Mus musculus: one gene and its partner. The protein of the gene in region 2 purifies or fractionates together with the protein of the main gene of each other region. This does not show direct contact. Links are inferred from orthologs where the notes say so. Each region holds a gene or a part of one and is shown on either strand. Other genes may lie near its edges. The genes, in order: Cdc37 and Akt3.

The links.
Region 1: the proteins of Akt3 (region 2) and Cdc37 purify together in Homo sapiens (co-immunoprecipitation; 3 studies listed by BioGRID and IntAct, counting the BioPlex papers as one, with this or other methods). This does not show direct contact. The link is inferred for Mus musculus from reciprocal best matches to the Homo sapiens genes AKT3 and CDC37.

The regions. Positions count from the first base shown.
Region 1 is NC_000075.6:21,147,505-21,151,423, reverse strand, and holds the start of Cdc37 (hsp90 co-chaperone Cdc37), read left to right. Parts: upstream 1-1,489; 5' UTR 1,490-1,566; coding exon 1,567-1,668; intron 1,669-3,919. UniProt on the Homo sapiens protein: Co-chaperone that binds to numerous kinases and promotes their interaction with the Hsp90 complex, resulting in stabilization and promotion of their activity. Inhibits HSP90AA1 ATPase activity.
Region 2 is NC_000067.6:177,245,958-177,249,876, forward strand, and holds the start of Akt3 (RAC-gamma serine/threonine-protein kinase), read right to left. Parts: upstream 2,811-3,919; 5' UTR 2,765-2,810; coding exon 2,719-2,764; intron 1-2,718. UniProt on the Homo sapiens protein: AKT3 is one of 3 closely related serine/threonine-protein kinases (AKT1, AKT2 and AKT3) called the AKT kinase, and which regulate many processes including metabolism, proliferation, cell survival, growth and angiogenesis.

The DNA of each region.
Region 1 (3,919 bases), on a different chromosome or scaffold from region 2:
CCCAGCATTTAATCTTCAGAGGCAGAGGCAGTCAGAGCTCTGAGTTCTAGGCTATTCTGGTCTATAGAGTGAGTTCCAGGACAGCCAAGGCTACACAGAGTAATTCTGTCTCAAAACAAACAAACAAACAAACAAACAAATAAATATTTTTTAAAATTTAAGGGCAGATCTGGTGTAGTGGGGCACACCTTTAGCCCCAGCACTGGGGAGAAGAGGTAGAAAGATCTGTTAGTTTGAAGTCAGCCTGGTCTACATAGTGAATTCCAAGACAGCCAGAGCTGTCTTATATACAGTGAGACTCTGGTGGGGGTGGGGGTGGGGTGGGAATTAAGGGCAAACATGATTAAAAAAAACAAATTGTATATTAATGTTTTGTCTGCAAGTATATCTGTCCACCACATGCATGCCTGGTGTAGTCAAAGGCCAAATGGGGACATAATATATATATCCTGGGTTGGACTTACAGATGGGTGTGAGTGGCCATGTAGGTGTTGGGAACAGAATCCGGGTGCTCTGGAAGACCAGCCAGTCTCCAAACTATTGAGCCAACTTTCCAGCCTCAATTTTGACTTTTTTTTTTCCATTTTTTATTAGGTATTTAGCTCATTTACATTTCCAATGCTATACCAAAAGTCCCCCATACCCACCCACCCCCACTCCCCTACCCACCCACTCCCCCTTTTTGGCCCTGGCGTTCCCCTGTACTGGGGCATATAAAGTTTGCGTGTCCAATGGGCCTCTCTTTCCAGTGATGGCCGACTAGGCCATCTTTTGATACATATGCAGCTAGAATCAAGAGCTCCGGGGTACTGGTTAGTTCATAATGTTGTTCCACCTATAGGGTTGCAGATCCCTTTAGCTCCTTGGGTACTTTCTCTAGCTCCTCTATTGGGAGCCCTGTGATCCATCCATTAGCTGGCTGTGAGCATCCACTTCTGTGTTTGCTAGGCCCCGGCATAGTCTCACAAGAGACAGCTACATCTGGGTCCTTTCGATAAAATCTTGCTAGTGTATGCAATGTTGACTTTTTTTTTTTAGAGTGTTGTTTGTATAACAACCCTGACCGTCCCTAAAATTACTCTGTAGGCTAGGCTGGCCTCGATCCGCCGGCCTCTGCCTCCGGAGTACTGGCATAGCGCCACTACCGCCCAGCCAATTTTGACTTTTTGACAGTGTCAATATGTAGCCCTGGCTGGACTAGAACTCCTGGAGAGCCACCTGCTTTTGCCTCTAGCGTACTTGGATTACCGTGGGCCACCACGCCCAACGCGACTAACCTTTTGTTTCTAAAGGATGGTCAGTCTGGTTTCGGCGGGAACTTCCAGAAGGCCTCACCACATACTCCTGGCCCTTTAAAGAAGACCTCCGGTTGCCAATGCCGCCGACTCCCGTTGCTAAGGACGTAACGTCCCGCGCCGACGCTGGGGCGGGGCCGTCCTGCGCGGCGCCCTGGGCGGAAGCGGAAGGGGCGGGGCTCGCCGAGCGGACTCTCTAGCCCTTGTGGGTCCCTGTTCAGCGCCCGGCCGTGTGGAGCCCCGGGAGCCAGTCCGGGCCTCCGAAGCGAAGATGGTGGACTACAGCGTTTGGGATCACATCGAGGTGTCGGACGATGAGGACGAGACGCACCCCAACATAGACACTGCCAGCCTCTTCCGCTGGCGGCACCAGGTGGGGCTGTGCGCGCTCATCCCCTTCCCCCCCACTCCCGGGACCCCCCGCTCTAGAGTTCTGACCTCTTCCCCAGGCCACCTGGCGTGGGGGCGGGGGAGACCTTAGTTATTGACATCTGGAGCCGCCTGCTCCACAATCTAGACTTTTCTCTTTCTTTTCTTTTCTTTTTCTTTTTTTTTTTTTTTGAAACAAAATTTCACTGTGTAACCTTCCCTGGCCTAGAACTTGCTGTGTAGAACAGGCTGGTTTCTAACTCACAGTGATCCTCCTGCCTCTGCCTTCCCAGTACTGGGATTAGAGACATGTGCCTTCATGCAGGGCCGGACTTTTTAATTCCATCCCAGGACTCCTGGCTTCTTCACCGTAATTCTTGACCTGTATCTCCAGGCGTTCTCTCTGTGCTATGGTTCTCTTCTGTTTGTAAGTTTATTTATTGTGTGTGTTCCCGTGTGCACGTGGCACAGCATGCCTATGGTGATCACAGGATAACTTGTAGAAGTTGGGCCTCTCTTTTCACCATGTTGGAACTGGCTGTGGAACTCCAGTCGCCCCACGTTGCCACAAGCACCTTTACACTCTGAGCCATTTTATCAGTTGGTAATACTTTAGTCAGAGTCTTGCCTCTCCCCATCCCCAAGCTGACCCTTGTGTGTAGGGTCCCCACTATCCTGTGCAGAACCTTCTGTTCTTCCTCAGAGTCTGGACCCCAGGTTCTGTTAGGTGATCTCATAGCCCAGCCACGCACCCACTTCATATTGCACGTCTCCCTTCTGCCTCTCCTCACTACTTAGAGTCTGGAGCCACAAAACTTCTGACTATGGCATCTATTTCCCAGGATCTTAGGCATGAATTTCTATTAAAGGCCCAGAGACGACCCCCTCCCCCCCCAACTTCCAAACTAAATGAGCCCTTAATTTAACTGTCAATCTTAGCTTGCAGCTGGGATTCCCCAGTCCAGGATCCCTTTCCCTGGGTTATAGACTTGAGTCCCACATGGGACATACCTGTAGAGCCCCCTTATCCTCTGTATTTGACCTCCATCTCCACTCTTGCCCATCATTCAGTTCCAGTGGCTCTCCTTATTCTCACCTCCTGTAGACTCTTATTTCCTGTTACTCCAGGAAACCCCACCCACCTAACTTCCTGTTAGAACCTCTGCTCCTTCTAGTATAGTAAGTAGACCCTCTCCTTCCCACCTTGGCTCCTATATGAACTGTAGCCATCTTTGAAAATTCACCAAACCAGGAGCCAGATGATGATGACACACATTTTTAATCCTAGCTCTCAGGGGGCAGAGGCAGGCAGGCCTGTGAGTTCAAGGCCAACCTGGTCTACAGAGAGTTCTACAGCTAGCTAGGGCTACACAGAGAAACCCTGTCTGGAGGGATGGGGCCGGGAGTCGGGTAGGATAAAGAGAGGGGGGAGGGGAGGAAGAGAAAGAAAAGACAGCTCACCAACCCAGAAAACCAAGCCTGTCCTGTCCTACCTGCCCGTTCCCTCCAGCTTCATCTGTCTCTCTCCAGGGTTCAGAGCATCCTAGTTAACTCTGGACCTCCCAGATAATGTTCCCACATAACCTTACTTTCTGAGCATGGTAGCACACCTGTAAACTCAGGTCTTAGGAGGAGGACGAGGAAGGAGGATCTGGGATTCAGAGTCAGTCCTCGATATAGGGCAAATTCTAGGCTAGCCTGGACTACATGAGACAATATCAAAAACCAAATGGGCTGGAGTTCAGTTGTATGGCATTGCCTTGGGCTCCATCTCTAGCACTGCTTAAAAACTAGCCATGGTGGGGCAGGCCTGTAGTCTGAGCACTGGGGAGAGGGAAGCAGGAGGGTCAGAAGTTCAAAGTCGTCAGCCACGGTAAGTGTGAGGCTGGCACAGGCTACAGGGGATCCTGTCAACCACCAAGCAAATAAAATACAGTCCTCTGCAGTTTTACATCTCTCCAAAACAGACGCCCCAGATTGAGACCTTAGAACCCCAAGTGTGAGCAAGCCATGCTCTTGCCCCTCCCTTGTGCCATCATTACCTGCAGGCCTGTAGCATACTACCAAGATGTGAGGGTGGCCTGGATGTGTGGTTCAGTGGTAGAGTACTTCTCTAGCGTGCAAGAGGTACTGGGTTCCAACTCTGTCGCAGCAGTAAAGAGACAATGGCCTAACCTGCTCCCCAAATTAAAACTTCTATACCCATATACCTGTGTGTCTTATACTCTTTGTTTAAGTTACATCTTAATTTTTTT
Region 2 (3,919 bases):
ATACTGTGGCCAATATCGACAATTCCAAACTTGGGAGACTGAGGTAGGAGAAACTCAAGTTGAAGGTCTGCCTAGAATATGTAGTCAGACCTCGTCTGAAAAGTCAAAATAGGAAAGAAAATCAAAAAGATAAGAAAAGAAGTTCAAAAAAAAAATAGTCATTATATAAACTATAGAATACATGCTATTGAGAACTGAGGTGTGAAAAATCTCTTTTATATTTAGGGTACTATCATATCACTAACATTAAAGAATTATAATGTTATTCATTGCTTTTCAGATTCAACAAGTTTAACTACTATAAGCCTTGACAATATGTAATAAGCATTAATGATGGCACAATCCATGAAGGGAATGTTGGGAATTCAACATAGTTTACAAGAAGCAAATTTAGAAATAAAAGTTCTCAAAAGTGATGATCTAACATCAAAGTCTTAGCCGGAAACCCAACCCCACCCAAAAAAGGAGGGTGAATTGGTGAGCGGGGAGAGCAGGGTGAGCGGGGTGAGCAGGATAAGCCGGCCTTCAAAGGTATTTTTTTCATTTTCATAACAGAAACACTAGATTATGAGAAAATGGCTATCCGAAAATAAAGTATTGTATATTATATGCACAATTAGGATACTGATCAACAGAAGAAGAACCAGCTGAAGAGGTAAAGTACAGAAGGGTCTTTACATTTCATTTCATACATTTGAGTACTACTCACAATATGTTCAGATGGCTATTATTTTTCAATAAGCACGAACATGAATGCAGAAAGGCAGATACACGTTGGGGGAGGACCTCTGAACAACAAAATTTCTTATGTACCATTTTCTTTGTTTTCTATTATATATCTTATGAGCTAAACACTAAGCTTTCATCATGGTACTTCAGAAAAGATGTAATTTTACAGAATTAAGAACCACCCTAAGACCTTAGACAGACATGAGTATACAGAAAGGCAGATTCATTATTTCACTTGAGTCTTACAATGATCTTAGGATCAAATTTTAGGAAATAATAAAGGAAATTTTTAGAGGTTTAAGTGACTTGCCATTTCCTCTCCTTTGCTCCCCTCTAAAAAGGTGAAAGAATATAAACTAGTTAAGAAAGAAAACAAAAAACACAACACTAAAATCTGAAAATACTTTCCAAATACATGAGAGAATAAAGCAAAGGACAAATATAATGACACAAATGGTCAGTCACTTTGGAAAATAAATTGGCAGTTTTATAAATTTAAACAGGCACTTACCATATAACCTGCAATCTTATCCTAGGTTATTACCAATACAAATGGAAACATCATGTACTCAATGTTCATAAAAACTTTATTCACAATATCCAGAGACAAACCAAATTTCTACCAAGTATTAAAAAGACAAAGCCAGGAGTGGTAAAACATGCCTATAACCCCAGTTCTCAAGAGACCTAGACAGGAGAATCATCAAGTTGAATAACTACCTGAGCTACATAGTAAGTCTAACTGCAACTTGGGTATAAAGTGAGATTCTGTTTCAAAAAGAAAATTAGTTAAAAATAAACAAATAAATGAAGAATAGTATTTCCTGAAGTAGTTCTTCTTTTCACATAAACGACATGGATAAAGCAGTGAAGTGTGAGTAGGAAAGAAACTAGACACAAAAGACCATGGGTTTTATGAGTCCACTGAACTGAAATCTTTGAAAATCATAATTATAGTAAGAGACAACACATCAGGTGATTGCCAAAGTTGAAAGAGAAGCAGTGAACTAAAAGCAACATGGAAAGAACTTTTTAGAGTGATAGAAATGTTCTATTTTAGGCCTGTAGTGTTTGTTACATCACCACAAATGTACACCATAAAAAGGCACAACCCATTAAAAGGGTTTTTTGGAATATTTATTGTATGTAAATTATAACTTGATAAGGCCTATTTTAAAATTCCATTTAAAAACTGACAACAGCTCTTTAGCCTAAGCATTAACCAAAGATTTTCAAAGAAATGAAAGTCAGTGGTTAGAGGTAACTTTCAACTCTCAAATAGGGCCAAAAGGATTCCTCAGTCTACTGAATCTGGCCATGTACGTAGACAGGTATAATTGCTGAGCAACTAGCCTAAAGTCCAGATCTCTAATAAACATATAGATTAAGTAAGGAGGTGATCACTCACATTATAAACTAAATTTTATAGCAGTTATTTAATAATAAAAATAATGCCTTTATCAAAAAAGAGTGGACAGGAAATATACAGTAAAAGTAGATCATGTAAACAAAAAATATAAAATTAAACAAAAAAAATCACTGTCCACATTTGAATTTTTATATAAGAGCTTTAATTTACCTAATTTATGGGTCTGTTTAGTCTAACAGTTTAAATGTAAGCCCTCGCCTTACTATATTAATTCTTTATGCTACCATACAAATTTACACAGAGCCATATTTTTATCTAAATATCAATATATCATTTATAGACACAAGAGTTCATTTCTATGTTAAATTCTGTAAAGTCTGTTGAATCTGAAGACATTATAGAAAAATACATTACTAACATGCATGCATGCAAAAATCTAACGTCATAATTATAAACTACAAAAAAAAAAGAATTAGAAGGAAATCCCTAAATAAGCAGACTCCTAACATACATGGTAAAGTTTCTTTCAGCCCTATCAGACAGCACTTCCCACTTGATTCAACAGCGCCAGAGGAAAGACCAACTCTCAGCACCCACTCACAGCTCAGCACTTAACTTACCCCTCTTCTGAACCCAACCTTCTTTCACAATGGTAACATCGCTCATGATGGCTCCCCTCTGAGCCCCCCAACTTGGAGAAATGGTGCTTTGCAGGTCAGTTTTAGGGTTTGGATTCGCTGCTGCTGCTGCTGCTGCTGCTGCTGCTGCTGCTGCTGCTGCTGCTGCTGCTGCTGCCGCCCTTCCCACTCTCTAGTGATGACTCAGCCTGGAAGGAAGTATTGAAGAAAGAATTTCTTTTTTTTTTTTCCATTCTTGAACTCACATAGCAATAACAAACAACTAAGTCTTTGTAAATGTCTTCAATTGGCCTGACCGCACATAAAGTCTAGCTTCTCAAACATGGGGGGATTAATAAATGGTTCTATGAATACACTGCTCTGGTCTTGTGGCAGATGTTAAATGATAGTGAAATATTTAACTTAAGAGACTGAAATTAAATGTCCTAACAAAATAACTGTCAGATCTACAAATATACAGAAAGCACATTTTGTACTGTGTATTTGGGATGAAGGGGAGAAAGAATGAAAGTTGAGTGGCCCACATCCCTTTAATTTCAAAAATCATTATAGTTTTAATTGCTTTATTTTATGTAAAATACAATGTTGCAAGAAACTAACATTCATATAATCTGCCTTGTTCTAAAAATATTTTAGGTAAATTACATTAAGTATACAACATTATTTCCTTGGGTAGATACAAAAAGTAGAACAAAGGAAATATAAAAGTAGAAAAGACATGCCAAAATTGTTCATCTGTCATTCTCTGATAATCTTTACAACTCTGTTAGGACACTCGGCCTTCATTTCACAGAACTGTGAGCCTGGGGCTCAAAGAGAATAACTAATTGCTAGATTTCAAGGTAGTAAGCTGTAGAGCCAAAATCTGAATTTGGAGTACCTCACTCCTAAATTGGCACTCTTCATTTCAAAACTCTACTTGTGAAAGTCAAAAATTTGGAATGAAATGTTTTAGGAAAACTGCTAATTCAAAACCATGATAGGTTTCAGTATTAATGTCTGTAATACAAAAAAGACGAGAGCTGCTGAGAAGAAAACAGTGTTTCCTAAGATATTAACCAGAAGTTTATCCCCTAGGTCTTTACATGATAACTTAGTAAAAGGTTTCTTCAAGGCATCCTTACATAGAGCAATAAGCTTAATGAACTGCACTATTATTGTCCCTACCAATCTAAGAGGGGAA